4 linked regions of the Drosophila melanogaster genome follow. The protein of the gene in region 1 interacts with the protein of each later gene in a pairwise test. Each region holds a gene or a part of one and is shown in the gene's direction. Other genes may lie near its edges. The genes, in order: CG13405, sol, CG4617 and Marc.

Region 1 (7,616 bases):
GTATTATTTAACATGTTCGCTTTATTTTTAAAGTAAAAGGGTATACAAGATTCGTTAAAATGTATGTAAGATTTAAAAGGAAGCGTTTCCAACTATATAAAGTAGATATGCACATATATTGTTGATCAGGATCACTAGTCGAGTCGATCGGGGTATGTCTGCCTGTATGAACGCTGATCTCGTGAACTACAATATGAAAGCTAGTCTGTTGAGACTAGATATGCAGATTTTAGTGTCGTCTAAACCGTGCAAGATTGCTTCAAAACGTTGCACAACTGACTACAAACACACAAAAACTGTCACGCCCACACTTTTGAAAAATGTTTTGTTTTTTTTCTTCGTTGACATATTTCTAACGATGCGGCAAAAAAAAAAGACACAAACCCCAAAAGGCTATCACGTCCACAATTGGAAAATTTATAGAATTTATAAATTTATGATTTTATTTATTATCTTTGCAATTTGTATCGGTATGCCATTAAAATTTTTAAATATTTTACTATGTTGCGATGTTTCGGCAAATATAAAATATTACGTTTCGTCGAAAAAGTTGTTGGAATGGATGCAACGTTTTCTTACACAGATAATCTTAATTTATATTAAAATGTATTTCAATATTCCCATGATTTTGACTATTGGGAAAAATGTAGGAAAGTAATTTCTTCTACACTTCTGTCGGCCACAAAAGTAACAACATTCTGGTGAATTTCTGTAGTTATTGCAGCGTCGCTGACGTTAGAAAAACGCATTACTATGTCGCAAGAGTGACATTTCAACGCAGTCAACAGGACACTTTTCATGGACACACATCTAATCTCTTACACTCGCCAAAATCCTACGCCGGAACATTTTTTAATTCTGTTCCTCAGAAAATAAACTTTGTTTTTAATGTTCAACATGTGGTAACTGATGAGTTTTATATATATGTCAAGCGGAATTATATATTTGGATTTAAACACGAGATAGTTTTTTTTTTTTTTTGTGAGCAGCCTTGTCTTATTGAGTCCAGTTGACTGGTACTGCAGCATTCCTTGACATTAAAGTTACGAAGTGGTTTATTGCCACCCGTGATGCTAACAGCAATTTTTACCCCCAGTTCATCATGTGGAATTACAACGCATTTATTTACTTTGTTTACATCACTTATTATTGTTGTTAATATTGGTATTGCAATGTGTTTGTTTTTTTGTTTGCCCTTTTTTTGTGCAAAAATTGATTTTTCTTCTGGGTCTGCCCCGCTCACATTTCCACCTCCTCCCTTCGCTGCCATCCCTTGAGCGTGTCAGAGTTCATCATTACGCCCGTCTAATGTCAAAGATTGTCAACCTTCGCTGAGCGGTTGTGTTTAAATATTACAAATACGACATGTTGTCATGCCACATGAAGACCGGCTTACTAGAAAGGGCGGTCTCAACAAACCCTATTCTCACACCATCACACGACTTTTTTATTACGTCCCCTTTTAAATTATGCTCTGTGAATGGGAATGATTAAAATAATAACAAAAAAGGAAATCAAGCGACGAAATAATATACTGAGTTGACAATACGTTTAAGAGGCCATTTTAAAATAAAAGTTTACCAGGACAGAGAGAGTAGAGTGCCTCGACTACAAGATACCTCTCACTCAGGTGATAATCGGGGTGGCAACTCACTGAAACAAACTGCGACAGCATACGCTGCGGAAGGAAAATGCACAATAAATGGAAATAGAAAAGTTTAATTGAAACTCATTCAAAAAAAAAAAAAAAACAATCAAAGCATGCTAAGGATCTCTATATCTGAAACAGATGCTCTCTACAAAATAGTTGCAGTGAAAAATGGCAAGAGAGTGGGCAAAGAAAAGCGCAGAAGGAGAAAGGCTTCATGATGAAGGATGCTTGTTGTTTGCTGCAGTTAAATTAAATGAAAAAGTTTAAAACTTTTTTAATGAAACCATTTTATTCAGTAGAGGCATAAACAAAAAAACAGTCCCCATTCCGTTGTAACAATAGCACAAAAAAGATGCAAGACAAAGGAAAACAAAAGTCTGAGCGGAAGAAAAACTTGATGCAACTTGCATGGTCTGAAAGGAATCAAAAAAAAAAAAAAAAAAAAAAGAATAAAATGTCCCAATAAAAATCAAAATATGTATGAGACTTAAAGGGGGTGGCCTATGCTTGCTTTCAACTTTGTAAATTAAATTGCCCGTTATTTGATTTAAAATGGGCGGCGCAGTCTTTTTGAGCTTAAGTGACGTATGCGTAATCTGAATGGGGAGCTAATCGAAAAGCCACCTTGATACGGACGATAAAACCCATAGGCTCTGGCTATGGGTGTTCGCTTCTAATGCAACTGTCGCTTTCAGGGACTCGCAAGCAATTGGTAATTACGCCAAAAATTAAACAGGGACGTAATCAAGAAAACATCAAGGATAAAAGCTTAAGCTTGGACCAAACAAGGTGCTTATTATTTAATTAAGTAAATTCAAATAAATTAAATTAAATAAATAAATAAATTTAAATTTGTATATCCCTATATCGACATATTCAATTTCTTTGCTAAACATTGTTCTCTACATTTTTGTCTTTCATTGCACACAACTTTGCAGGTACATTTTGCGTACATATTGTGCATTCCTATTATGCCATTCAATGCACCAGTTTGATATTAAAACAGCAACTTGTGTCGCTGGGCCAGTTATCAAATACATACCCTTTCTTTCCTGGCTTACAGGTTGTAATCTGTTAGAATTCACGTCTTAACTACCGGTAGTACGATGAAACGACCCTGCTGCGAGATAAACATTATGCCAAATTAAAATGCATTCTGTAGTTTCTATAATTAATGCGAACGCATGCCGTCGAGTGGTGCGCTTTGAAACGTAATCCACCGGATCCAGCCACAAGAAATCACTGAGTCAATAAAAGCGTGAAATAAGAGAGATGAGATTGTAGAAGGAATGAAGTTAACGGCGCAACAGCTATCATGATGGCAGAAGAACAATAAATCGTATATGAAAAGATCTAATAACGAGGGAAACGGAAACGGAAGTTATTGAAGTGCTAAAAAAAATGGCGAACTGAAATAATAAAAGTAGTTGTTGTGTGCAGTAAACTGAGATTTTACTGGCTCTAAGGTGTGGAGTTTTATGTTTACGTTTGTCGATCACATGATAAATCTACTACAACAATTTGTATTTGATTTATATATCAAAATTTGGTTTATTAAAGTATTTCATAATTATGTAAACTAATACCCCTGCATCGCTTAATACAATTTATCCCTAACATCCGAAGCAATGTCTGATGTGGAGCAAGAAGCCTCTGGAGACGTTGATAATGAGCAAAATGAAGGACAAGAAGCTGCTGAAGATTTTGAGGGAGAGGGCGAAGGAGACGAACAGGACGTTGAAGAGGAAGATAAGTTCGAGGTGGAGGAGAAGGATCCCTTTGAGCTCCTCAATGAGAGCGATGAAGACGATGAAGAGCAACAGGCAATGTACAAGGAGTATCAGGAGGTGGTCAACGCTATTGATGCGCAGAACAGGATTATAAAAGAGCTCAAGGCAAAGTCCAATCGACTGATGTTCAAGAAGTGCAAGACTTATAGAGACAAGCAGGAATACAAACAACTTAGGGTCTGTCAGGAGCATGAGGAGATCCATTTAAAGGTTCTCGTGAATAGAGCCATGCACCTCCAAAACTTCGGTTCACCTAGGCGCTACAGAGATATAGAAATGGAAGTCACAGAGGACGAGAAGAGCTACTTTTATACTGAACTACAATCGACCTTATCAGGCTTTTGTCCCACGGATTCGGCTGACGAATATGAGTCGGATTCTGAATCGGATAATGGACTATGTTGTACCTAGTTTCCTAGCGGAGTTTCCGAAAATTGACGGGGAAAAGTTATGAAAATACTTGAATAATTGTGGAATATCTTCATATTTTACATATATACATATCTACACATATCAACGACACTGCACTCAATAAAATGGGAAAGGATGGAGGGAATGTGAATAAAAAATGCAAGAAAATTTCAATAAAATGCAAGTAAATGCAAAATTTAATTTAATCCCTCGATTTCTAAAATATCTGCCTAGCACTTCTTTTAGCTGGGTTTAATAGTCAAGAGTCCAGACGTGGAGTAGCCAAATAGCGGGAAAGTGTAGAGCAATAGCAATAAGCGCAAAAACAAGACGATTGTGCCCCCAGACAGAATAAGGGGATCAAAGCAAAACAGCCATAAACAAATAACCGAAGAGGCACAGAAAGACGCCAGTAGACGAGAATGAATCGAAACGAACTGAATTGAACCAAAACTTCTCTCGATGATTTCTTCGTTCCCTCCTCCTTCTTTTATTATGCCTCAATTCTCACTCTCCGCCAAGTGCCACGCCCATTGTGGCGCTTGATGGGGAACACTTCGCAAAAACGAGATAGTTTGACGTTTTCTACACAACTGGTCACTGTTTAAATTTTATTTACATTTAGAAAGATTTGGAGAAAAGTGAAATGTAAATTATTTCGATTAAAAGATAATTTATGTGGACTTGCAACTTAGAAATTTATGGTTTAACCCTAAGGTGGAAAATTCAAAAGCGCGATTTTAGAAGGGGAATGTTGTCGGCGCCAAATTCGCCAACCCAATGTGCAGAAGCAGCGGCTTCGACCGCGTTGCGACGTCACCTTGCGTCCATTCACCCCGTTCATCATTGTTTATGAGTGTGTGCCCAGACACAAAAACAAGCACACATTAACGTATACAGCAAAATTCCTTTAACTGTGCTTCGATTCCATTCCATTTTCCATCTGGTTCTGTTTCTGTTTTTTGGACCTCTGCCTTGGGTCTTCTGTTCATGTCTCTTCGCCCCCCCCCCCCCCCCCCACCCAATTCTCCAACCCTACTGCGTTCTCCCGCTTGTTGTTATTGCACTGTCTGCGGCTTGGGTATTTTTTACGCGCCTGTGCTCCATTCCACGTTCCCAGTCTCCCCGTCTCGTTCCAACAACCTTGGTATATATCTTCGCCGCCCAAAAAAAGTGTGCGAAAAATACTCTAGGAAGATTCAGAATCGCGGAGTCGGATCTAGGAGAGTCGTAATTATTCATGTTTTTTTTTTTAGATACATGTATGTATGTATGTATGTATAACGTGTATGTATGTATGTATAACGTTGGCGAGCAAGTGAAACGGAAACACAATAAGAAGAAGAAAAAAGAATCAAGGTGTCATGCCCCTCCAGAACAAGCTTCAGTGGAAGGGCGAGCAGATGGAAAAAGAATTGCGTCTCGTGTTCATTTTTTTTTTTGTGTGGATATAGACTTTCGCTGGTGGGTCACAAACACAACCACTTATGAACCCTTTAAACCGATAAGTGTCACTCACATTTTCACTAGAAACGTAAATTCCGTATCGTTCTATTTTAGAGCTGGTATGTTTCGGTTCCAACAAATAATTTTCTAAATTAATTTCGCATAAAAAGTGCCAACCAATGCCAGCAACACACACAGGCGCCATAGTATGTAGGCGGTGGAGAGGTTCACAAATGTCACATTCTTAATCGCAACAGCAACAGCACTGTCTGAGGGTCAAAGTTCAGAGACACGTACATTTTTGTTGAGTGGATGGGTCGGACGGAGCCGAAGAGCAATAATGGCTGTCGTCTGGCAGAAAGGCTTTGCCCCCAACCAAAGCACTTAGTACAGAAGTGGAATACAGTCGTCGTCTTCTATGTCTAGGTTTGCGCACTGAATAAGTAAAACAATCACTATAATTTTTCCCGGTTATCGACAGCTTCACACGTGTGATATAAGGGATATTAACTCATTCTGAATTATTCGAAGTTGAATTCAGTGTTGTTTTTTTATATTTAAAAAATTTGACTTGGAAAGATATTATGTGCGATCATAGGACGTTCCAGTAATATGTCCTCTTTCAGCAGCAGTTAATGCTTTCGTTCTGCTTTTCTTGATAGAGTTACTGATCCCGTTGGCAAAAAGGACATTGAACTGCACCTGCATTGGGCTTCCCTGCCACACATATAAATAATCCCGACAACGGGAAAACAAATAAACAAACAAAAAGCAGTCGGAGATGCTTTCAACTTCACCGCCTGCGTCGATGATGATGATTACGGTGGAGCAGGTGCAAAACTACACATGAAAGGCAGGTGCACAAATTTTAGTAAAGTATACGGCCAACGAGAAGGAGAGCCACTAACTGGTCTTACAACAGACAGCGGACTTTGTTCTCATTTTCATACTTTTGGGGTAGACGTTTACGTTTAAATACATCGGTTTTTAAGAGTTAAGGGAGACTTTCGTTTGATTGCAGTGGGAGTGGAGTCCTTTATTGGGCTCGTCCTTGTCACTAAATATTTAGTGACGTAACGTATCCAGTTGCAGGCAGCTGCTAGCTACGGCGAACAGATAATTACGGAATTATTTCAATTTGTCATGATTTTAAATGAACCCCACGCTTTTTGTAACATAACCATACTATACTAACCCCATACCAGTTAAAGTAAACCGCTAATACTCAGATTGTTCACTATAGTTTGACAATGCTTTTTGTCTATGTTTTGGATGCCCAATCTGTCTGTCTACAGCATCCAGCCAATGTTTTCTAAGCTCGAGGCAGACTTTTGCTGGAGGAGCGGTATAGGTGGTAAAAATTTAACGATTTGTTTTGTCTGCTGTTCTGATTTCTATGCTTCTGCCGCGTTGCCCTCGTCAAATTTGCAATGTCAATGACGTCGGCTTCTCCCTCTTCTTTTGCTACCCGTTGCCGCAGTCGTAAAAAATCAACCCTCGGCCAAATAAATCGCACACGAAAATAAAAGCGAAAATCTTGGCTGGTTAGGGGCGTGGTCCACGAAGTGGACCTGAGCTATAAACCCCGATGGTCTGATTGTAAGTCTGAGCTAACGTAGATCATTGTCCTTGGTCGGGTTCATTCACATTCAAATGGAGCGAGAGCATTGGAATGAGAGGGATTCGGTGCTGGGGCAGAATGGAATAAATGGAATGGCACAGCAAAACAAAGACTACGATAGCATAAAGCTTATGCGATAAATGCTTTTGATATCTAAATTGTATTTGGTGTTTTACAACTTTCATTTTATGTGTTTTACATCGTCGTTAATTTGTTTTTTATTTTGCAGTTCGATATGATGTATGTTAAAAATCATCTAAACAATATAAACCTGATGTGTCAAATTCTACATTTTGTGCAGTGCACACAATTTGCTGATGATTTTCGTTTGTTGATTTTTATATTGAAACGGCGGAAAGCAGAACAACAATGACGGAGCGACCAACCTCATCCTCGGCCCGCATCTGCCTCGGTCCGGGTTTCGAACTTCTGTCCTCCCATGCGTCAAGTTCTGTGGTCTGGTCTCTGGTGATGCTAGTGGTGGAGTCAAGCCAGTTTTGTTGCCATTTGCCAGAGGTGTTTTTGTAACCGACCTAGGACTTACCATGTATTATTGTCTGCTGAAGTCGGCTCGGTTGAGTTGAGTTCTGCTCGCTTTGGATTATTTTGCTTTTCGCTTCCCCATTTCGAGACATTTGGCGGGAAAACTTCTCTGTGTTGTGAGCTTCGCTACCAAAACAGAACGGGCAAGAACCAA
Region 2 (8,844 bases), on another chromosome or scaffold:
GTCACACGTCCAGGATCGAGTGGTCCTCGATGTGTGTCCGTTTAGGAATAAGGCGCTTCCCACTTGAGGCGCAATCCAGAAACAGATTGGTACTTCCACTAGAGGCTCTGATTGTTTTCAATATTCAAGAGAAGAGAAGAGAAGATATATCGACCACTAATAGATTATAGATGCATAGTTATAGACAAACACTATTTGCAATTGGCTCCGCGGCATTTCTTTTTTAATCTTCCTTACCTTACACATTTTTGTACCTATAACTTCGCGAGCTACTTGCAATCGTAGAGTTTAGGCCACCCAACCGACCTGCAACTGCTTCTAATTACATTTCACATCTCACAGGTCAGATGCAGGCGGCTTTCGAGGACGCTGCCTTCAAATTGAACGTCAACCAGCTGTCGGGCATCGTCGACAGCGACTCCGGCCTGCACATCATCCTGCGCAAGGCATAGACTCATCGAGCACCGACCCACAGCACAACTCGCGTCCCTTCACATGAATAAAACGGAATGCCCAGCCATTTCAATATAGAATTATTTATTGTATTTTAAAATGTTAGGTCTTGTCTAGGCTAGAAGCGTTTCTCATTTGCCAATGTCCAGTTTGGCGGCCAGTAGCTTGGCTCCGGGCGTCTTACGGTCCGCGAGTATCTGGCTAAGGCTCCTCTCCGCCGCGATGGCTTTCTTGCAGTCGTCCAGCAGTGCGGGACACTCCTCCACCAGCTTGAGCAGGACAAAACAGGCCCGGTTGACGCCCAGCCAGGCTTTCAGCTGAAAAGGGAAAGGGAATCGCAATTAGGAATTGGAATCTGAGTGAAGCTGTTTACTTTGCGACTACTTATTTATTAGACTAAAGCTAAAGGAATGTCGAAACGTCATTAAATAAAAGAAAAAACTCAAAAGTACGATGCGTTTCTCATGACTGGGAAAAAGGAAGATACCCTCGGTTACCGGATGGCATGATTTTTGGGTACTTACCACATCGGAGGACAAGTTTTGGAGTAGCTGTTGGCTGAACGGGGTGCCCTCTCGCTTGCCATCGTTCTTGAGTATCTTCTTCAATACAATGTGCATGCCGGCCTCCTCGATTCCGGAGACCAACGGAGCCGCCGGCTCCTCCTCCTTTGCCTTTGGCTTTTTGGGCTCCTTTTTGGCTTTCTTCACCTTGGGTTCGGCATCATCTGCGGCCGCCTCCTTCTGCTCCTTCTCGTCTCCTTCATCGTCGCTCTCCTCATCTTCATCTTCATCTTCATCTTCGTCGTCGCTGCTGCTCTCGACATAAAGCAGTTTTCTGCGCTGTTTGGTGGCCTGGGCTATAATGGCCTCCACGTCATTGTGAGGCTTCTTCTTATCCTGCGGCTGCGGACCGGCGGCGTCTGCTGAAATGCGCCACTCCGGTTGGACGACGACTTGGGCAAGGGCCGAAGCAGCCTTCTCATAGGACTCGCCTTGAACTAAAAGGCAGAGATGCAAACGTACATTAATATCGTGAACATATTCTTGTAAATCCATATGTATGTTTCTGCTATGGCTTTCAGAAGTGTGCACTTACTGTGATTAAGAATATCGCCGGTGACCAGGCCGATGTGGCTGTTGGACAGCCAAAAGGCGGCATCCTCGGCGATGGACTGTGCAATCGGCGCCTCTATCTGCTCAAGGATCTCCTTGCGACGCAGCTCCTTCTCCTTTTTTCCAAAGGCTAGACCCTCCTCCACCGTGCGAATGAACTCTGGATGGAAGCATGTCGTATCACCCGGAGCCACCAGCCATTGAATCACTCGTCGGCCGTACGGGCTGCTCATTAGCGCCTTTAGATCTCCGTGTAGGTGATCGTAAATTGCCTTCTTGGTCGCCTTAGTGTCGTCCAGTGCGTTTAGCAGCGAGATGAGGAACACGTGGCCGTGCTCATGGTTGGCGATCTTTAGCAGGTGCTCCTTGATATTCTTGATAATGGCCTGAAGAAGGGGTTAGAATACATATAAGATTCTGTTTCATCAACACACGTTATACGTGATCCACTTACTCTGCGATTCTTGGGCGTCGACTTGTAGAAGCATATAACAGCCGCCTCGCTGCCCTCCTTGGTGGACAGCATGTGAGGCACTAGAGCCGCAAACGCAGTGACCGTCTCCTCCAGCTTCTCCTCATCTTCGTCGCAGGCGCGCAGGTACTCCAGCATCACGGCGTGCACCAGCGCACTGTCCACCAGCTGCTTGTTGGCCACATGATCCAGGTTTGCTTTAACCGACCCCAAAATGGAGGCCTTCATGTTCGTGGCCTCCTTATAGGTGTCGCTCAGAGTCTTCACATTCGAATCCTTGGCCTTCCGGTACAGATCGCCGTAGAACTCCTGGCGCATATAGATGCGCTGATTGGGTGTGGCGCTCTGATACATCGAATCCAGCAGCCCACTGCCGATGCTGTGTCCGGCCAAACGCACTATATGTCCGTACAGGCTGTCCACCAGCTTGGCTTTGGTGGCTGGCGCACCGTACTTGAGCATCCGTTGCACGCAGAACTGGGCGTATTTCGACTGGCACATCTCCACGGTGAAGGGAAGCAGCTTCTCAGAGATCTCGGCCCGCAGAGCTGGCGACGCGTACTTTAGCATGCTCTGGATCACGCGGGCGGTGTCGTGGGCCTTCACCACCTTTGAAATAGTGTCGCCCACGTTGAGCACCTTGTATATCTGCTCCACCAGCTTGTCCTTGTTCTCCGTTCGGCGGCTGCAAGACAAGCACCAAATTATGTTGATATATATATATCAGAGCAATAGGATTTGCGCATTCATTAGTTGTAATTTTACGAAAAAAAAAAAAAACGCGACAGAGGATAGAGCTGGTTTGTTTATGACCAAACAAAACAGCATGCGCTAAATAGGCGTCTTTGGAATCTACGCTCTTGGTTCTAACTCAACATTTATACAGAAATACAAGGCTATATTAACTTAGTTTTGATACTGATCAAAATGCTTAACTAGCTATTATTGTTTCAAGAACATGAATAAAATGTTTGGTGTTTTTGAATTCGAACCAAGTGGCAATGTTCGGTTTTTCCACGAACAGGTGCTTCGTTTTGGGATCCACATGGCCATGTTTATCGATATCTTGTCCTTTAAGGAACCAAAATGACTTATAATTATTAAAACTATATCGTATAGATTGATGCCTTATGAAATTTAAACAACTTTGTACGTTCTGAATGTACATAAGTGCATGAAAGAGCCCGATTTTGTTGAGCTATCATAATTTGTATAGGTAATTTGAGCGCTAAGGATGATAATAACCGATTGTTTGGGCTGTTCATCGTGTTTTTGGGGATGCTCACCATCGCAACTTCTCGTGGATCTGGTTGGCCTCCTTGCTGATCTCGTAGGTGTCCTTGGCACTCTTGCGCTTCAGCTTGAGGTCCTTCTTCTCCTTCTTGAACTTGTTCCAGTCCTGTTTCTCGCCCTCCGCCGGCGCCTGTGGCTGTGTTTGTGGTTTTCCGCGGAACTTGTTGCCACCAAGCCTCTTGTCGCCGGTGGCTCCGGATTTGTCAAACTTCTTGAAGCCACCGGGCCCAGACTTGTCGAACTTCTTGGCACCACCAGCGCCTGGCTTTACAAACGACTTGCCTGCTCCTCCGCCGAATTTGTCGAACTTCCTGGCGCCTCCTGCTCCACCGGGCTTAAACTTCTGTCCGTTGGCGCGCTTGCCGGACGATTCATGGGCCTTGAGGGGCGAGGCCGTGTTGGCCACGTTAGCAGGTCCTTTCGGCTCCGAGCTAACCATCTTTGCTGCGTTTTCTTGGACACTACAACTAAATAACAGCAAATGTTTTTGCCAAAAAAGCGAACTACACGTGCTGCTGATGCAGAGTGACCAGATTGTTGCAGTATACCCAAGCTGTGTAAATACCAAAATCTGGTATTTTCGTTCCACATACAGTAAGTATCAATGAAGTGCTTCTATTTGTTTAAAATTTAACTCAAGTTAATGCGTTCAGTTCAATTTGACTTTCCATTTGAAAGCGGCTAAAAAATAATAATCCATGTCTAAATATTAAATTTAAACTCTTCCTAAACTAAGCTCCTCAATGTTGATTACTTGTTATAGAAGGTCAAATAATTTTATGCATGTATTTGCGTCGTTTTATGAATATATGTATGTATTCATTCCCAAAAACATATTAGAATTGGTCTAAAAATTGAAGGTACCGATTTTTCATTAACGGCACTTGCCAACACTGGCTTTGCGGGGTAGCAGCCGTGTTTCTCGCGCTGGCAACCCTGTCCGGCAGAGTTCACGCACTCGGGCAACCTTGTCGTTGGAGGTGTTCGCGAACGTCGACAACCCTAGCGGCAACAGTTAAAAAATGGTGTGAAACGGCGACGGAGAACGCGGCGTGCAACTGTTGGAAGCCACTGCTTGGTCCTCGTTTTGGTCCCGGGTTCTGGTCCTCCTATTGATCTCCATCTCCGCCCGGCCACCAGCTCGAAAGCGCACCTACACATCATAGTTTCCATAGACAGTCCCAGTTCCACATCCACTCCCCCGCCAGCCAGCCAACAACAACAAAAACAACAACAGCAAGAGAAACAACTCAGAAGTCGAAAGGAATCTGGGAACTCCTGCGACTCCCCCGCGCAATGGGCACCATCTCATCCGTGCTGCAGTGGTCGTGCACCAAATGTAACACTATCAATCCCACGGAGTCGCTCAAGTGCTTCAATTGCGGCACCGTCCGCAAGGTGTTCCCCCAACAACAGCAGCAGCAGCATCGCAGCAGCAGCATCACCGCCTCCTGGACAGCTGATGATGCACTGGAGCAGGAGCAGGCGGAGAAGGGGCAGGAGAGGGACAAGGAGAAGGGCAGGGCGGCGGTTGCCAGGTAAGCGAAGCGGTCGCCACAAAAACAAACAGCCTGTATGCCTCCTCTGCGAGGATGTGCCTGTGTGTGTCTGTGTCTGTATGCGTGTGTGTGTGTGTGTATGTGGGCGCCAGTGGTGGCATCCAATTGGAGGACAAAAGCGCTAGCTAAAATCATGTCGCATATGGTAATGTGTATAGAAATCGGTGGCGTTTTCAAATCCAACTTTTTTCGCACACACATTGTATGCACACTTTGGAAAATATACAAATACACAAATATGTACATACTTTCATCGGTAAAATTCGTCAATCAAAAACCTTAACTTTCAAAGAATAATAATACCAAAAGCTTACCAACGTAAGCTCCTATGCTGAACTTTAATATCCAAAGAGCAGACCGAGTAAATCTTAGTAAATTTTATAGTTCTCACTAACCCTTTTGTGCATAATGAAACTTAAAGAATAAGAAAACAATGAAATCGGTTAGGAAAATCCTGATTAACTATCCATAGGAATAACTCGAATGGGAGTATAGGAATAAGTTGAAAGATTTTTATATTACGAACTTAAGTTTCGAAAGGCTAGGAAAAGGTACAGTGTGTACAAGTACACAGTTCAAAAGTCTAGCTTTAAAAGCCAAGCCGTCGGCACTGGTGATTGTCCCTGAGCGTGTGTGTGTGTGTGTGTGTGTGTGTGCGCGAGTGTGTGTATGTGAGAGCATGTATACACAGCAGAGGCAGAAGCAACAACAAAACAGCCGAGGAGCAGCGAGAATTGGGGAAAATCGATTTGGATAAAGAAGCATTGTTTACAAGTTTATCGATTCGCGAACTCGCTCGGCGATCTGAAGAGCAAAAGAGGTGTAGGAACAACTTCCGAGTCGAGCGGACGAGCGGAGAGTAGGAAAATGGCCAGTCATTGAGATAACCTTTGCGGTCAGGAAGTGGGGAAAGCCCAAACAGCTCAAGAACACCGAATCCCATCCAAACCCGACGAAAAACGAAAAACCCCATTTCCCTATTTTGCAGGAGCGAGTACAAGCATGTGTACAAGTCCCTGCTGCGCGGATGCTTGAAAAGACCACAGCGGAACAGCCAGAATCTGCCCGCCAACTGCGTGGATTGCGAGGACACGCGCAAGTACATCAAGAGCTCTATTGAGCTGTACCGCCACTTCTCGAATCCGGCCCTGAATCGGCGGTGGGTGTGCCACGCCTGCGGCACGGACAACAGCTCGGTCACCTGGCACTGCCTCATCTGCGACACGGTCAGCTATCTGGCGCCCATTTACAAGGACGCCATCGCCGCCGACCGAGGCCAGGATCTGGCTGGCAGCCTGGGCAATCGCGGCGAGCTGCTGGCGGCGGACCATTCACATCCACATCATCATCACCACTACCTCCACCAGGAACTGGAGGAGCAGCATCAGCATCAGTTACATTCCCAGCACTTGCATAAGCGCCACCTCAAAGGTAGATCTGCATCCGGATCGGGATCCGGACCGGGCTCGGGTTCTGGACTGCGCCGCACCCAGAGCCTGAGCACCGCTATCGACAAGAGCGCTTCCGGGCGCAGCTGCCACATTTGCTATGCGAACAACCAGAGCAAGGACATCTTCAATCTGCCGCAGATCAAGCCGGCGCCGCAGCTGACAGGTGCGTTCATCAGCTAACGAACTAATGAAAGGTTAAAGGTTACTTGAGGAAATAACTATAAGGTATTCTTATTGGCCAGCCTATCGTTTCCAAATTTTTACTAGAAGAAACTCTTTAAATGGACAACCGAATTATTTAAAGTCTATTCTCTTTTTGTAAAGTTCTTAATCTTAGTCAGATCATGATGAAAGTGTTAGCTTCCCATAACCGGAATGCACGCACTTGTTATCCGATAATCCAATTCTAATCCCTATGTGTTTCTCGCAGGGATTCCCCCCGTGGCCGCCTGCAGCAACTCCCGTTTTGCCATCGCCAACGACACTTTTTGCAGGCGCAAACAGAACAACAATAACAAGAACCAGAATCACAAGGTGGTTCGCGAGAGCGGTGCCAAGCGGAAGTACAACTTTACCATCACCACGCTCTCTCGGTCGGCGGCCAAGGATGCCGGCCATGGCCAAATGAAGCCACTGCGTCAGGTCGTTAATCTAAATCTGAATCTACAGCAGGAGCCGCAGCAGAAGTCACCGGCTAATCCGCAGCAGCTGCAGCGGAAAACCCAGCGGGAGCCAGCAGCAGTGAGTATGAATCCCACGCAGTTCACCATTCCGCGGAACGGCGTCTTCATAGCCGTCAACGAGTGGTCGGAGCCAATGGCCAGCAGCTCCTCCGTCTCCTCTAGCTCCAACCATCATCATCACCATCACAGCAACAGCAATAGCAATAGCAGCGGTAACAGCAACATCATCAACAACAACAGCAGCAGCTCCAGCGGCAGCAACAAGTTGTATGAGAACGAATGCGTGGCCCTGGCCCAGCAGCAACTAAGAGCAGCTGCTGCGCAGGCGGCACAGGCAGCCGCGACGGCGGTGGCCATTGCGAGTTCGCCATCAGCTAAGGCTATGGCCGAACCAGCTCCAACGGCTACCATGCCCATCTATGCGCAGGTGAACAAGCAGCACAAGCTCAAGAAGAAGCAACAGATTGCCAGCGAATCGCAAACGAACAACAACACTGGCAGTGGCGAGATCGCGGATGCGGTCAGTGAATCCCTTACCGCCGGACTAGGCACTAGCACCGATGGCAGCGGCGAGGCCAGCGAATCCGAGTCGCAGGTGGAGGAGCACTCCATCTACGCCAAAGTGTGGAAGGGACCGCGCAAGGCGACCGAGTCGAAAATGTAATTGGCAGCTAGCGTGCGACCGAGATTAGTCCACACCCATCCAACTTCCTATCCCCCGCAGAAGCTTATCAGTTGGCTACGTTTTTATTTTTGCTGATAATTTGCGTGGCGCTTAGTCACTGCGGCCTTCTGTTTGTATTTCGCCCGTCCACCAGCTTTTATTTTTATTCTGCCCGCTATAAGTTCAGTTGTATTATTTAAGCAAATTGTTTATGGGCATGATTTAAATTAATGATTGGCTTGCCACAAGATTGTCACAACTTGGTTGAGGTAATTAATTCATTCGCAATCGTGCTGATCTCGGCTATGACAATCTGTGGTTCAAGTGTTCAATTTAATTACATTTTGATTTCGCCTATCTCCCGTGTTGAATCAATTTTGAACTTGACTGCATTACAATTGATGGTCTTGCTTTCGATTTGCAGTATGCATGATCCAGGGAGCAGCAGCCGCCTATCAGGAGCCGCATCCGCAGCAGCAGGGACCGCGTCAGCTGGAGCTATAGCTGCAGCCGTAGGAGCAGCTGCTGCCTCGCGGCACGACAATAAGACACAGCTTGGCAACGGCAGCCGCAGTAAGATGTGGATATGCATCAAATGTTCCTATGCCTACAACCGACTCTGGCTCCAGACTTGCGAGATGTGCGAGGCCAAAGCCGAACAGCAGCAACAGCAGTTGCAGCTGCAACAGCAGCAGCAGCAGCAGCAGCAGCACCACCACCACCACTTGCAGCAGCAACAGGCAGGTGTGTCATCAGTTTTCAGGAAATAATGTAATGCTTGTGCTATATCAAATACCTAATGCATTCCAGAAGCACCCCGCGACGAGCCATGGACCTGCAAGAAGTGCACCCTGGTTAACTACTCGACAGCAATGGCCTGCGTGGTGTGCGGCGGCTCCAAGCTGAAAAGCATCTCTTCCATCGAGGACATGACGTTGCGAAAGGGCGAGTTCTGGACCTGCAGCCACTGTACGCTCAAGAACTCGCTGCACTCGCCGGTCTGCAGTGCCTGCAAGTCCCACCGCCAGCCGCAGCTCTCGATGGCCATGGAGGCGGTACGGGAGCGACCGGATGGTCAGTCGTACGAGGAGCAGGATGCTGCAGCCGTCGGGGGCGGAGGAGGCAGTGCCCACCAATCGGGCGCCAATGAGGTC
Region 3 (8,157 bases), on another chromosome or scaffold:
ACCCAACCATACGCTCTTCTAGGCGCCTGTTTCGTAGGCAATCAGTCGGATAAGGCGCTACAGATATTGGTGGCTACGCCCGTTTTTTGCTACTGGATCTTTGGCTCGATGAATCTGATCTCCGGCTATTTGGTACACTGTCGCACCAAGGAGATCCTGAGGAATAGCAATGCACTCAGCGTGCAACAGCAACTGCAACAGCTAAGCGCACACAGTAGTTCCGGCATTGGCATATTCCTTTTCATCTATGGACTTGCATGTGCCATGCTTCTGTTGGCTGTCATTTACGAGTTTGCCAACATCGATGTCTGGCTGGGATCGGGTGATACCAATACGCCACTTTGGCCATTTTTGTTGCGCGCCTTCATGGAACTGATGCTGGGCATTTGCTGTTTTGCCTGGGTACTTGGACCAAGCATTTCCACTCTCTACAAGAGGCAAGTCAGCAATGGCAAAATGGTGAAGCATACGTCTGCCGGAGCAGCAACTGGACACCTGGACGGGCATAGTAGCTCGCGTGGATCGCATGCGGCTTGCAATAGCACGGTGGTCTCCTACCATTCGGTGCGAACTTCTATGGCCAGTGTTCCGTTGCCGCCAAGTCCGTACAAACTGAAGACTTCGCCTGGTACCGGCTCTATATCGCTGAATCAGATGTCCAACTATTCGCTGGGCAGGAGCGTGCATCACCAGCAGCGCCATTCGCCGCATCATCATCATCACCAGCAGCAGCAGCATCATCAGTTCCATCCCCACCACAATCACCAGCATCACTCCACATCCTCGCATCGGCTGTATTATCCGCCAGGTAGCTATGCCTCGCAAAAGTACAGCCAGCACGGCAGCTACTATCCCCACTTGCAGCAGTATGGCAATGAGACGCTACTCTAGACGGAATTGGATTAGGTACCATTTCAGGGCAGGAAATGCTTCCTGCTTCCAGTCAATGTTCCTGCAGCAGCTGCTGTGCCAAAGTCAATCCTCTACTATAACTTAATGCGGTTTCGGGTATCGAAAGAGGCAAAGCAACTTAAATGGGTGGGGAAACGGTCCAATTTGTTTGTCATAAAACGATCGTGAGATAACGATATCGTTATTTCGATTTTAGTTGCTTTGCCTGTCCATAGAACACAATGGGGTAAACCGATCTATGTACTGTGTATATAACCCCGGAAATGTGCTCTTAGTGCTTTAGTTTGGGCCTTTATCGCGAGGTCATAGGTCATCTACAATGTATTTGTAATTGCCCTAGATGGGCTTCATATCCTATTTTCCTGTGTGTACTTAATGTTGCTCCTAATTAGTTGCCCCTTGCGTTGCCTTTTTACCATTTTGGTGTAACCAAATTCAATAATCGCTCTTGCCTTTTAGACATTAGGACTTAATGTGTGTCGCCTTTGCGTACATAACACATATATACATATATATATTTAGCATTTTTATATAAATTCTTTTTTTTTGAGTTAGAGAGAGAGAGAAACGCGCAGCAACCAAATACTGTGATACGCATGTTCATGTCTTCAAAAACAAAAAAATAAAAATGGGAACCAGAAACTAGGTTTCCAACTTTGCTGTCTTCTCCCGATGCCGAAACAAGTGTACTTAACAATCGAAAAAAAAAAACGCAATTGCAATCGTAGCCGTAATGCCTAATTGTATTCAGTGTGCCATTAGCTTTAGGGACTTAACTGAAACGAGTCAATATCATGAAATTACCTTAAAAGAGTCCTTTTCCAGCAACGAACTTTGGCGGAATTACTGAGGGTTTTCCTTCAACTTCTGCTGATTTTCGCACAGAAAAAGTCCTACTTCTAAATGTCCAACTAACTAGCTAAGAAACTAACTAACCTTTATACAATTGCGGGCTAATACGAATCGTATGGAGCCCGCGACTAACAGTATATGTATTGTATTGTATTGTATTTTATATGTGTATTTTTTTTATTATCATATATGTATATGTATAACTTATTTGCTAGCGAATAAAGTGTCGAAAAGTTAATATCTGTTTTGATTCATTTCGTTTCGCATGGTTTTTACCAAGTAAAAGAGTCTCCAAGTGTCGCCAGTACTCCATGAGCATTTTGTTTCGCCTTCCTGCCAAGAAAATCGCCACCTTGCACAACCCACCTGGCAAGTGGGTGGCCCAGTGGGCGCCTACTGCCGTGTGGGTGGCAAGGTCGCCTCGCTGCGTGTTGGTTCGCATAGGACGATGGTTTCGTTGCGATTGTTGTTGCCGCTGCTGTTGTTGTTGCTGCTACTGGTCGTGGTCGACATGGCCCGCGGGTGCCAATTGTCAAGGTCCTCGTCGCCGTGCTCCTTGGCCCTGTGGTAGTTCTCCAATTCGCTGGCATACTTGCTGCTGGTGATACCAAGCAGGTGGGCCAGCCCACCGCCCACATAGTCGATGCCGGCCAGGAATCGGTTGCCCATCCTGCTGGCCTTGTAACGCAGGCGTGGTCCCAGCGGCATTTCGCTCTAAAAGGTGGCAAAAAAAAAAAAAGCGGGCTAAATGAGTCACGCTAAATGGTCAATGAGGAGGGGGGCGGGGGGTGGCAGCTGCTTATCTTTTTCGTGGCCCTGGGCCCTGTTTGTTTACTTAAACAGCTCAAAACACACATTTTCATTGAAAGATATAAAATTTCTCACATTATTATCATAATTCGCTTCGAACATTAGTCACGTCTCGAGCTCAAAGTGAAAAGTTATTATCTGGATCAGGAGAACTGGGCTAATCTTGAGCAAATTTAACTAACTGTGTTAATCCGGACAATCCCGCTTTAAAAAAGGTAAACAAGCAATGCAGCTACATGACCATGTACTAAATGGATGGCCGGAAGTGCATTACTCCACCCATAATCCTTGCTGAATGTATGTACCTCGTTTAAATGGACGTCGTAGCATTTGTCGCCCATTTCCGCATCCGCCTCGTCCTCGCTGCCCGAGGACAACTCCTCCATGACGCCGTCGCTAAAGTACAGCATGCGCTTGTTGGACTGCAGTTCAAGGGCGCTCACATTGTCCGTCTCGGATGCACTTGCTCCACTCGCAGATGCCAGTTCCAATCCTCCAGCTGCACTGCGTACTTCGCCACTCTTGTTCCTCTCCGCTGACATGGCTATGGATAGCTCTAAACCCGATTAAGTACCGCCTCGATTGATTGACGCTGCGCGAATGTTTTTGCTTGCGCTTGAGCTTCGTTTGAATCGCAGCCGCCGTTTTGGTCATGAAAAAAGCGGACGCGGGTCAACGCCAAATGCGTATACGGCCGGCTGGGGGCCAAAATGTCCTTGGGTTGGGGGCCACCGGCGAAACGACTCACAAACGGCGAGAATCGCGTGCCATGGGGCGCTTGGCGCAGTTAGGTGCAAAGCAAATCGATAAACTAAAAGCCGCTTTCAAACAGCAAAAAAAAAAGTCGAAACAAAACAAAGGTGCGGCAGTGTGACCAGCTGATGGTTTTTGCAAGCTAACTGGATATTAATTTAGATGTATTGTAATAAAAATGAAATTGCAGTCGTATATATCGTAAATGTTTTTGTTTATAAAAATAATTAATAATATAATAAAAAAATTAAGTTGTGCGTGCACATCCTGTGCTTATAATTTAAATAATATAACAATAAAAAATATTATATTATTAAATAATTAAGTTTAATGGTTTCCTACTCTGTACAATTGACTGGTGCAATGGTTATTAACTTAGCAATATATTCAAAAACTAAAATGGTTATCTAGTGTTCCATATTTAACCATCGCTTGCAATGCATCGCGTTTTAAAGCTCTGGTCACACCAAACAGCTGTTTTGTTTGCTTCGTTTAATTCGTTCTTTTTGCAACAAATTGCATCCCAATCTTCCAAAGCAGGTATCCAAACATGGAGTCCCCAACCTCGCACCTGGTGGCCAAGGGTGAGTGGAAAAAGCGGCAGCCGTCAATGGAATCGGGGTCATAAATTCCCAATTAGATTTCCAGGTGACGGGTGTTTCGCGCAGCGGACGCGTACGCAAAAAATCGTCGAAATTGTTGGATTTTGAATCTCCGGATGAGATCGAGAAGCGCACAAGGCGTCACAGTGGCGCCAGACAGCCAGCCAGATATTCGGGCCGCGGCAGGCCATCGAATGCGCTGCGTGATCTGGATCTTGACCAGGAGATGCTCGTGGATGATGGCATTATCTCGGATAGCGAGGAATTCCATCCGGATACAACGGCAACGGTCGTGGCCATTCTGAATTCCGACGATGAACTGGACAATCTGGTGCAGGATATCGTCGATGGTGTCCAGGCGGAGGCCACCAGCCAAGAGTCATCCGTCCGTCAGAGTCTTTACATGCGCGAGAAGTCCAACAAGCGGCAGGTGCTCAAGGACGGCAAGGTGGTGAGTGCCAAGGTGCAGCGCAAGGACAAGGGCAAGCAGCGCTACACCGCCTACAGTCTGTGGGCCAAGGAGGCGCGACAGAAGGATCTCCAGGATCTAGGTAGGTTGCTACACATCTGTGCGCTCTCTATCGCTTATTGACCATTCCCCGCACGCTTGCAGACTTCACCAGCGCGACCAGACGCCTCAGCGAGCTGTGGGCGAACGTTTCCAATCGGGACAAGAACACCTGGCGGCGCAAGGCCAAAATCGAGGCGTCCAGGGCCAAAACTCGCGACAAAACCGCTGCAAACGGTGCAACCCAGCCGGCGAGCAACGGCAGCACGGCTCTGGCAGATGCCACGCAGCACGAGACGATCTTTCAGAACCGTGCGACAACAAGTCGCACTCGAAAACTGGCCGCCGATCGGCAGCAATCCTCAATAGAAGCGGCTGCCGCAGCGGCGGCAGCAGCAGCGACTGGCACCAACACACAGCGGCGCAGCATCAGCACACGAAGTGCCAGGTCGCAGGTCTCGAAGAGCGCGACGAAACAAGCGCAAGTGCACACGGATGCGGACGTCAGCGGCCGGACTGGGGGTCAGCTGAAGCAGGAGGAGGTGCAAAAGACCAGCATCGAAGTGATCGATGCGGCCGCACATCTGAAGCTGCTCGGCGAGAGCCTGACTGTGATTGGCGAGCGACTGAAGAAGCACAATGGATACGTGGCGCTATCGGGCAGCTTGTCCGTGCTCCTCGACAGCCTGCTCTGCGCCATGGGACCGCTGCTCTGCATGACCACGCAAATACCCGGCATGGAGAACAATGTGCAGTTGAGCAAAAATCTGGCCGACACGCTCGACAACATCGCCTACGTAATGCCCGGACTATGAAGTAAATTCCGGATTGCAACTGCAAATGCATACATATATATATATATATAATCATACCAGGCCGCTGCGCTTCCAGCGGCGACTAGAGTCGCCATCGGGATCTGTATGTTTGTAAGGAGTTGGCCAACCTGGAAATAGTTAATCGCATTAGATATGCCTAGTTGATAAACTGAAGCATCTAGATCGTAAGTAAAAGGTCTCCCTCTAATTGAGTTTTTTTTTTATTTGCTTCTTGAATTGAAATTCGTACGCTAAAAAGTTTAGTAGTTCACTTATTTATTTCCACTTTTTGTTTTTTGCAACATTTAAGCACAAATCATCGAAACATTGGTAGAATTAGGCAACATTAAATATCCTATAATCCTTAAGTGAAATAAATGTGAATCACAAGATTCTTATTTCAGCTTCAAATTAAGCAGGCACTTTTTATAATAAACGTAATAAATAAAGATAAATATAAAAGCTAAAAATATGAGATGATTTCTTCCTCTGCCCAAAAATCTTTATAAAAGTGAAATATTTTTAAAAATGATCTCAAATAAGCCATAATTGAAGGTTCGAATAGTGGAACTATAAGCTAGATATAAACTTTAAATATTTATAAATACGTTAATTATTTGCTTACTTTCTAGAGATGGCACTTCGCTGGTGCGCCATCGATGACTTGGCTTGCCGTTACAACGGCGAGCTATCGATGTTACATCGCCGCCCTGCCCACCACTAGCCAGTCCGCGGAAAGTAAATAAGAAGACGGACGCCAAATCGAATCTTCCCACATCCCCGGATGCAGTGCAGCAAGCTCTGGGTCCCTGAGAATCCTGCGTGGGCCTGGGATTCCGAATCCTCTTCCGCCCCGGATCCGCACGTCAGCGCGGCATCCGCATCCGCCACCGCTTCCGCCCACGCACAGCATCCGCAGCCACATCCGCGGCAGCAAAAAAACGGTGAGTTTTCCACCTGCATTTTTTTTTGGATTTTCCGGGGGGGGGGGGGGCAGCAGCTGTGATTGGGATGGAAAATACTTGTGTAGGTGGACGGTCAGGTTGTAGGGGCGAATTGCGTGACGGCAGCGCTACAAATTGGATTAGTGCGGCGATTGATTCTGAATGGGAGATGTAAACAATCTTCCTGTGCACTGAGAAAAATAACATGGTAAAGCAAGGCACAAAAAAAGATGGAAAGATTGGTTGAATAAGATAAAATAGGTTTAAGACTAAGCTGAAATATCATTAGCCAAAAAACATGAATGTGAAATGAATTACTTTAAAGGATTCTTAAGCACAATTTGTTTAGAAAATAAATTCGATTCAGTAACTGTTAAATTCAAAGCTTAAAAAGAAATGGAATACCTTGCGATTTGCAGTCCAGACATTTTCTCGCAGTGCACTAGCTCCCCGCCCGCTGTTTTGTAATTGGCAATATAAGGAATGCCCGAGGTATCTATTTTTATACCGCTTAGCATAGTCGTTATGGTGATAAATTCCGAAGGGGGGGTGGGGGGTTTGTTCGTTATGCTTTTCAACCCCGTGACCTCCCACCGCGCCCAATGGGGCATACTTTTGGGGGCGCCGGGAACTGGGAGGTGTTTTAATTCCACCATCGTTGGTTTATTGAAAAGTTGTCATAACTCAGAACAGACAAGCCAGCAAAGTTTCGAGTCCTCTCAATTGCGGGCAAATACAGGCAGATCTTAAAACTATAATGTTTCATTAAATTCACGCCGTCATTGAATCGAATATCGTGTTTTCCCGTTGGTAACTATCTAGATATATGAACTAATTTAAAAGGAAAACTCAAGGTTTTTATGTAAAACGAACGCGTGGTTTTTCTAGCAGCTCATTTTCATTTCAATTGAACTTTAAGATGAGCTTAAAACTCGCCTTTCGCATTTCAAATACCAAATAATTGGTAAACATTGCCATTTACACAATCAATCATATTATAACTTCTTCGGGTAATGAGAATGAAAACCTTTTCTTTTGGATTGAAAGTGCAATCGGATTCCGAGAGACGCCATAATCATAATAGTGCGCCCGCGGATGGGCATATGTTCATTTGTACATACATACATCTCATCCGAATCGGACTTTGAGCCATGTTCTCGACACGCGAGATAAGCGGCCGGCAATCAGAGAACTGGTTTCAATTGCGGATCGGGTCAAAATCGCCCAACCTTGGGCCATTGTATGCAAGTTGTCTGTGCGAAACTCAATGAGCATAAATTAGTCTCAATGCAGGAATGCCTCAAGTGTCCGGCCGCTCGTCCATTTCCATTGTCCAACCATTATTGCAGCTGGCCAAGCGCTGGCTTATCACTCGAGGCGAGGCCCAAAAGGCGAAGATAGAGACGAATGATAATCAATTGGCCATAAAACGGGTGAAGTGTGGATGGTGTTTGGGTTAGCCGGGTTAGTCGTCGTCTGTCTAATCGAGTGGCAATCAATCAATTTGGCAAATCGGACAACCAATTCACAATCTAATCCACAGTCTATCCACGATGAGCAACAGCGAAGGAAGCGGCCACGAAAGTGGAATCCGTACACTGAATCGCAATGCGAATGGAAACGGCAATGGAGACCTCAGTCTGATGCAGGATCTGCAGCATAAGTACGCCTTCCTCGAGAATCTCTTCAGCAAGTTCTGGAAGTCTATCATCAAGTCGAATTCCAATCTCAAACTGCAGTTGCGCAATGTCAAGTGGAAGAATGCCAAGGCGAAGCCCGGCTGTGCCTACCAGCCAACGGAGGTGAGTTCTATACATTGTATGTGTACAGTACACCTGACGCCTAAACCACATTTACTCTATCCAAAAAAAAACAGATCGAGCAGGTGGCCAATGTGATTACTCACGGCATTTGGATACTGCCCGCCGTTTTTGCGGCCATCAAGCTGTTTGAACGCTCCT
Region 4 (7,758 bases), on another chromosome or scaffold:
GAGTATTTGGGCGCCCCAAAAGTGGACACTTCCGACGTGCGAAATGGAAGAAAATCCAATCCACCGAAGTGGCATTAATTGCGCCCGTGAATATTTACGTAGTTTACACGTGCTGCGAGCGCATGATCTGCTCTGATCGTGAATGCGGTAAGAGCCCGGTTATCTGTTTATTTGCTCGGCAAACGGCAACAACTTGGAGTTGACTCACTGTTTTGTTTATTTGCTCAGCCCAATGGGTCAGCTTTGCGGGACAATTGCTTTAGCCAGACCTATTTACCTTATTTACTCGGTTGTTCAATAAGTAGAAGATTACTTTACGACAGCGGCTATTACGGCTTATTTATAGAAAAGTTATTATTCGTCCCCAATAACAAGCGATTTTCAACTGGCTTTCGAACTGAATATTAACGAAAGGTATAGGAATTAATTATTATTATTATTATTTGAGTATTTAAGCTGATATTATATATTATCATATCTTAAAATATAGCATCCAATTGGTTACTTCATACTCTGTTATAAAGAGAAACTTACTATTTTCAAGTTGCTTTCAAAAAAGAATATAAAGTTCACTGTCATCAAAACTAACATCAATATTGTATAAAATTGATTTAATTGGTTAAACCTATTTATCAAGTCTTGTCGGATTCTTAAAGTATGCTATTTTTACAATTGTAATTGTCACGAGCAATTTTTGACAATTGTCCTCATAAACTAGATAGTAAATGTTAATGATTTAAAAAATAGGAATAAATGACGTAAATTTATAAATTTGAAAGCACTTATCTCAAGTTGACTTTCCGTGGTTTTCCAAAGACTATTCTCAAGTACGTCAGTAAAGATAAAAGTCATTAGGTAGGGGATTTTCAATACAGTAAAGCTTCTATTGGGTATTTCCCTCATGATACAGAGAGTATTTTTAAAATAAAACAATCACACAAGTGTATTTACTGCAATTGAAACCCGATCTTTGATTTTGAACATATTCGGGGCTTCCTATATTAGAGGTCGCATAAACATAATCACTAGAGTTCCCCGAATGATATCAACACACGAAGCCATATCGGCGTGATAACTACGTCCGACGCCGAAACTTTATGACCTGGTGCTATTTGATTATTTCGCCGATAGAGGGAGCAAAGTGTATTTGCCATTTACACGATTACGATTCTGTGGATGTGGGTGTGGGTGTGGATGTGGATGCCCTAATGCGAGGGCTTCCGCACGAAGGCGACCGACCCATTTCCCCCCGGTGGCCGTGAAAATCTCGGGGGAGTGGCAGCGGGATGTGGCCGAGTGGATTCGAATCCGAGCCGAACCAAACCACACCGAACCGAAGCGAGTGGAGGGGGAAAAGCTGTTTAACCTGTGCGCGCGGGGAGTGGCCTGGCCCCAAAACGGAATGAATGCCCCATATACATGCTGCCCGGTCATCAGAAGCCTGGAAAACTGGTAACTCGGCACAGAGAAAAAATCCAGCAGATATAGGTCATCGATTTGGAAGTTATCCACAAAAATCTCAGAGGCTCAAATCATGTTCGCGTCTTTAAAATGCGCCACTTAGTGGTTCTAACAGTTGGAGAATCGCGTTTATGTAACTAGAATATTAAGTAAGCAAATAAACGAATAAAATACTTCAGTATTACAAGTGCACGTTATCCAATTTATCCGACTTTATCATTAAGAGATCGTAATGTTTTAGAACATGGAATAATTAGAATGTCGAGTAAAATTAATGTAGTTTAATTCGAACTGATATGTATATTTTGATAGCTCCTTCTGTGTCGACCTGTTTTTACCATCTAGCAAAGGAATCCAGTTTTTGGCCAATTAATCGATGTGCTAATTTACTGGGAGATCAGAATGCAGAGCTGCAGAACAGAACTCCATAGAAGTCGCCATATCTCCACTGCCAGCTGCGCAGGCGGTGTTTGCACATCGTTACAATTACAATTAGCCCGTCGAGTGCTTTACTTTAATGATCTATTTGCGAGCGCGGTTGAATAACACGCTAATTGACAGCCAACACAAACGAACGTGCACTTGAGCCGGAGTCGCAGTCCAAGTGGGAATCCGATGGGGGATTCGCAACCTTGACAAAGAAAATTTCTAATTAACGGCGCTTGCCAATTTGCGTACACTGCGCGAAAAAGGAAACAGCGACACGCACAAAAGCGGCGCACGCAGTTCGTTAAAAACTTATTCATTTCTAGCAATTAAGCCATAATGGCGATAGTTAACAAATTGGGTCGCTGGCGCTCCGAGCAAAGAACCCAAATTCTGGCCACTGCGTGATCTGCGAGTGGCTAATCGCAAATGGCAAAAATGGCAAATAATGTGGACGAAAGAAAACACATTGATTGGCTTGATTATGCACAATAAACCGGAGTCGGTGACTTTTGTCAGCTTTCCATTCGCTTATGGTAAATTGCTGGGCGCTACTGCCAATTAAAATAGAAATTGTTGACCAGCCGAAAAGTCTGTCGTCGTTTGCTTTGCATAAAAAATTAAATCTTCAACACACAAACGAAACATACGAATTGTTATTGCTGTTGCTTTTTTTGCTGCTGCTGTTGTTGCTGCTTCTGCTGCACGCGGTGTAAAACTTTCGAATCCGCTGGCTTTGTATCGTATGGGATCGGATCGGATCGTATCGTATCGGATTGGATCGGATGGGATCGGAAACGTTTGGATAGAGCAAAAACGCTCTGCACAGGCGCGTAACGTGTTTTCGACTGAGCTCGGGATCGCGACTGCGCCAACAGCAGTTCCGAAAGCAGCAGCGACGCTCCAAGCAGCAACAGTCCCAGTTTTAATGAATGAAAGCGCAAGTTTTTACCGCTTTGTCAGGCCAACAATATGCACTTTTTGTGCGTAAGGCAACAAAGCCCGTCCTTTGAGTTCACACACAAAAGAAGAGCAAAACAAAGCGAAAACAAAAATTGCTTTTTGGCCGAGTGTCGTCTGCCATTTGAATTCGAATAAGACGTGCAACTACCTATCGATAAGTCTATGGCCCAAGTCGAATTTTCCAACACTTGCGCTTGTAAATGAGAATACTTATCGGAAAACAAATCGTACCTGAAAACGATACTTAGTTCATAAAATGTGTAGTTTTCGGAATAAATTGCATGCAGATTCTAAGGACATGATACCAAAACACTCAAATAAGAAGCATTATGTAGAAAGTGCACGCGTATACATGAGAAGTGACTCCTCAATTTTAATCAAATGCTGCCTTTGTAATGTGGACACTTTTGGCGGTGACAAATGGAAGGAATTCATGAAGCACCTGGTTCAAAGGCATGGAAACGAAAGTGGATTTAATGCAGATGAGGATGAGATCCAGGACGAGGTTCAGGTGGAGATGACCAATCTCTTGGCGGCGTCTATTGCTCAGGAATCCAAGTTGGCGGAGGTACAGGAATCTTTCAAAAATGTAGAATTTATGGAAGAGGAGGTGGAACCAAACTTTTCACCAGAGAAAGAGCAGGGCCATGATGAGCTCGCAAGCAATAGCCACCATGTAAGCAGCCTTGGTTATTAATGACACTTGCTTGACTTCGATTCTTTGATTTCCACAGGACTACATCTCGAACCAACCCCACAAAGCCTTCTACAGCCTGCAGCGCACCAGCCCCGGAGTTATTCAGTACTTCATACAGCAACTGCGGAGACACAAATTCTTCTGGATAACTGAGCACGGGATCAATAAAAAAGATCGCATGGATAGTTCCCAAAAAGTGGCAGAGGCCCTGTTCCATCGATTTCACTTCCAGTTGGACCCAAAGGTGGTCAATGCCAGTGCCCGTTTCCTGCAAGTCTGGTTTGAGCGACAGTATGTAATGCAGTTGAGCAGCTCCGACTTCCGCTGTCGCTATCCAAAGTACTACCACAGTTTGCTGAAATTCATGCCCACGAACCACATATCAGTGACCATTTGCGAGGAGTGCGACCGACGGTTTCTTAACGAGCGCCTGCTACGGCTGCACAAATTCCGCGTCCATGGGGGACCCAATCCGAATGTTTGTCATGTGTGCCACCAGAGCTTTCCACTCGCCTCCAAGCTAGAACAACACCAGGCACGGTACCACTTTAAGCGGCCGGAGTGGCAATGCAGCAGATGCGATTACAATGCACCTTCCAAGTGGGACTTCCAACAGCACCAGGCCATGCACGCGGGGCAAAGGAACTATATCTGCGAGCTGTGCGGGCACAGCTCGAAGACCAGCTCCGCCCTGGCCGTTCATCGGCGAACTCACGACCAACCGAAACTATGTTGTCCGCACTGCAGCCGGCAATTTCGAGAGAATAGCACCTTGAAGAGTCACATCCGGAAAATTCACGACGGTAACAGTGCGCGGCAGGTCTCCTGCGACTTTTGCTGGCGGAGATTCAAGACGCTGGAGTTGCTGAAGCTTCATAAACTGGTTCACCTCCAAAGCGAAGAAATGGAATCATATGAGGACGATGATCCAGAGGAATTGAACAGATTCGTTAGTTAAGTACGTTTCGAAAAATATAAAATAGTAGTTTAAATTTCTTTAAAAGTAAAACGATTTCAAACCTTAAATGGAAATATATCATATAACTTAATTTGTATACATTGTAGCGTAACTTAATTATATATATCAATAATTTACATATATTCTTAGCTACTTTAATAGAGACTGCTGTAGTTTTTTAAGTAGAACCCTACGCGATTTTTATCTGAGGTGACTTTTAATAAGCTATACACTATTTTGTTGGTATTAAACTAACTAGAACCACATTCTCGCCGCGTATTAAAATCTGTGGGAGCTCTCGCCGAATCTCCACGTTTTTTCGGTTTAGATTTTTGACTACAGTCCTGGGAAGAGTGATACCCAACTCCTTGAGGCGGCCTGTGCAATCAACAGGTGTGTCGCATATGTTTTGCTCTCCGTAATTGTACTTTCGTCGCTTCCAGGTTTCGGTAACATTCCTCAGTAGGAGGTTCCACTGCTTGTCAAAGGCCAACAGTTCACCCTCGACACTGCCGCCCACCGATCCGTGTTTGCGAATCACCACCCGAACTCTTCTCCTTTCGTTGGATTCATTGTGGCTAGCAGGGGATATACACTTCGTTAGGAGTTCCAATGGACCGACAGCTGCCTCCATGTAGGTGAAAATATTTCGATGATGCTTCTTTCTGCTACTAGTGGTAGGCATCTGGTGCGGCTCAAAACGTCGCTCAGGAGGTAGAATATCTACAGCCTCGGAAGTGGAAGCCTTTTTCGATGTCCCCTGATCTCCTCCTTCTGCGGATCCCGGCTTTTGGCGCTTGTTCAGCTGCCAGATGCCGAATTTTTTAAGTGCACTCTCGAAGGCAGCCAGATTCTGGTAGATGACCTTTGGAACAGCATCGGTCACCCTAAAATTGGGTTCGTATAACGCTCGCAGAGGATTAAACCTATCACTGCCCACATCCAATTCGGAGATTTCCGACGAGTCGTCCTCATTCGAAGTTTTCCGGTCCCTCGATTCCATGACACTGATTCCCGAAGTCTGCCGATAGAAGTCTGATAGAACAAAGAACCTTAAATTTTTTTCTTTTTCCGCTTAAAAGGCAACAGGCTTCTTGCAATTGTTATGTAAACAAAGGAGCACGAATTCGCCGGCTGCATGCCCGATAACAGTTATCGATTAACCTGGAGGGAGCGGGGATGGTAATTTAAAAATAAATGTATTAAGTCTACCCTATCACTGAAAAATAGCACTAAGAACCAGGTTACATTCCTTATCATCAGTTGCTACTGTCAAAATGACCGCTGATATACATAGATGCATGTGTTGTCCAGCCTTGGTAAGAGATCTTCATCAAAGGAGAGCTTTTTGTCCAATAAACCTAATCAGTGGAGCTTTTGACTCAGAGAAAGCAACAAGTGTTACAGCGCAAAGGAGATGGCAAGTGAGTGAAAAACCGGGATTAGCTGGGAGATCCTTAAGTAACGTGGATTATCCTGCAGCCGGCGGAAATAACTCGACCTTTGACCTCAGTCCCAAGACCCTGGCGGCCGTGGGCGTGGGCCTGGTGGCGGTGGGCGGGGCTAGCTTCCTACTGTACCGCCATCTGACCCGCGATGTGGTTCCCCAAAAGTGGCGACGCGTGGGCACCGTGGAGAGGATACACTTTTTTCCGGTCAAGTCCTGTGCCCCTATGGACATCTCGAAGCCCGGAGTGGAGTACGACTGCGATGTACTGAGCATGTCCTTTGAGGGAATAAGGGATCGCACCTTGATGGTGGTCAATGAAAAGAACGAAATGATCACGGCTCGGGTGTATCCGCTTATGACCCAGATCAAGTCGAAGAAGGTGTCGCCCAGCAAGCTTGTGTTCAGCGCCCAGGACATGCCAGACCTGGAGCTGGACTTCGAGAAGCTGGACGGTCCTGGCAAGGATGTGAAAACTTCCGTTTGGGGCGTTTCCATAGACGTGATGCCCTGCGGAGATCGGATCAACACGTGGTTCTCCCAGGCCATCCTGAAGAAGGAGAGCGGCCTCAAGCTAGTTCACTATCCCTATCCGAAACCAGTGAGATGCACCAATCCCCGCCTAAAGTCCATGCCATTCATTAGACAGGAGGACTCGGTATGTTCCTGATGCGCAATTCGAAGTGTTAGGACCCAGATCACCCTTGATTTGAATTCTTTCCATAGGGCACTTTTAACGATGCCACCAGCTTTATGCTGATGAACCTTTCGTCGGTCGCCGATCTTAATACTCGGTTAAAGAATCCGGTGGATGCACTGCAGTTCCGAGGTAACTTCGAACTGAAAATGGATGTTGATGAGCCCTATGCCGAGGACAATTGGCAGTGGGTGCGTATAGGCGAAGATGCTGTTTTCCGTACGGTGGCGCCATGCACTCGCTGTATTTTTACCAACATTAATGCGAAGACCGCAGAGAGGAGTTCCGAAGGAGAGCCTCTCAAAACGCTCAGAAGGTGAGTCACTACCCATGGAAATATCTGAGAAGTACGACTTACAAAACCCGACCCTCATATCTGGAATCCACAGCTATCGCTTGTTCAACTACAGTTCGCCGGCTCTGGGCGTTCATATGGGACTTCGGCTGCCGGGAAAGGTGAAGGCCAACGACGTCGTGTATGTGGAGGACAAGTGAATATTCCATTATCTCTTCTAACACTTTATCCGGTATACATTGAAGTTTATTACATAGAACATAGATGAGAGTACTGTAGAGTTTTATATGCAAATATACATGTGTTATGAGCCTATAACAATATAAACAACTTTAAAGCTTGTCCTAAACACAGGACTGCCAAGCGAGGCCACCACAGGCCATGCTCACAATCACGTAAACGATGAAGGTTATCACCAGACCCACCACCACGTAGACGCGGATGTTCTTCCAAAACATTTGACGAGCCAAATTTCGGGAGGCCTTACGGAATGCAACGGACTGTAAGAGAGATCAAATGAAAAACACATTTAAAAGTCTCTGCTTGGCATCACCTTACATTATTGCTCAAGTTTTCGGTCTTGTTGACGAGCAGCTCTAGTTTCTCGCCGCGATCCCGCAAGCTGTCTGCAAATGGGATGAAAAGGGAATAGTAAACAAAAAGAACATACGGATTTTCCTTCCTTCATACCAATATTCTTAACCATAATGTCTTTAAGCTCGTCAATCTGACCATGTACTCGCGAAATGGTGTCCACCTCCCGGGACTGACTGAAATAGACCATCTGCTGGGCCAGGATCTTGGAGAACTCGGT

Evidence for each region.
Region 2: the proteins of CG13405 (region 1) and sol interact in a two-hybrid assay, tested with the Drosophila melanogaster proteins (one large-scale study listed by BioGRID).
Region 3: the proteins of CG13405 (region 1) and CG4617 interact in a two-hybrid assay, tested with the Drosophila melanogaster proteins (one large-scale study listed by BioGRID).
Region 4: the proteins of CG13405 (region 1) and Marc interact in a two-hybrid assay, tested with the Drosophila melanogaster proteins (one large-scale study listed by BioGRID).

The regions. Positions count from the first base shown.
Region 1 is NT_037436.4:70,874-78,489, reverse strand, and holds CG13405 (uncharacterized protein), read left to right. Parts: upstream 1-3,157; 5' UTR 3,158-3,279; coding exon 3,280-3,852; 3' UTR 3,853-4,036; intron 4,037-4,098; 3' UTR 4,099-4,545; downstream 4,546-7,616.
Region 2 is NC_004354.4:21,345,980-21,354,823, forward strand, and holds the start of sol (small optic lobes), read left to right. Parts: upstream 1-4,300; 5' UTR 4,301-4,629; coding exon 4,630-4,871; intron 4,872-5,655; exon of another isoform or gene 5,656-5,782; coding exon of another isoform or gene 5,783-5,787; intron 5,788-5,880; coding exon 5,881-6,506; intron 6,507-6,773; coding exon 6,774-7,686; intron 7,687-8,114; coding exon 8,115-8,434; intron 8,435-8,500; coding exon 8,501-8,844. Other genes in the region: dod (dodo), read left to right, coding at 343-452; peng (penguin), read right to left, coding at 585-770, 978-1,453, 1,552-1,954, 2,023-2,725, 3,327-3,772. UniProt on the Drosophila melanogaster protein: Has a role in eye development. Calcium-regulated non-lysosomal thiol-protease.
Region 3 is NC_004354.4:7,100,115-7,108,271, reverse strand, and holds CG4617 (uncharacterized protein), read left to right. Parts: upstream 1-3,780; 5' UTR 3,781-3,877; coding exon 3,878-3,911; intron 3,912-3,967; coding exon 3,968-4,480; intron 4,481-4,542; coding exon 4,543-5,252; 3' UTR 5,253-5,437; exon of another isoform or gene 5,438-5,562; 3' UTR 5,563-5,717; downstream 5,718-8,157. Other genes in the region: fz4 (frizzled 4), read left to right, coding at 23-891; CG8300 (uncharacterized protein), read right to left, coding at 2,158-2,478, 2,880-3,116; CG4615 (uncharacterized protein), read left to right, coding at 7,750-7,998, 8,073-8,157.
Region 4 is NT_033778.4:9,833,906-9,841,663, forward strand, and holds Marc (mitochondrial amidoxime reducing component), read left to right. Parts: upstream 1-5,870; 5' UTR 5,871-5,922; coding exon 5,923-5,929; intron 5,930-5,987; coding exon 5,988-6,610; intron 6,611-6,678; coding exon 6,679-6,965; intron 6,966-7,038; coding exon 7,039-7,144; 3' UTR 7,145-7,258; downstream 7,259-7,758. Other genes in the region: CG1663 (uncharacterized protein), read left to right, coding at 3,284-3,526, 3,585-4,505; Lsm11, read right to left, coding at 4,738-5,508; Vamp7 (Vesicle-associated membrane protein 7), read right to left, coding at 7,289-7,444, 7,503-7,570, 7,635-7,758.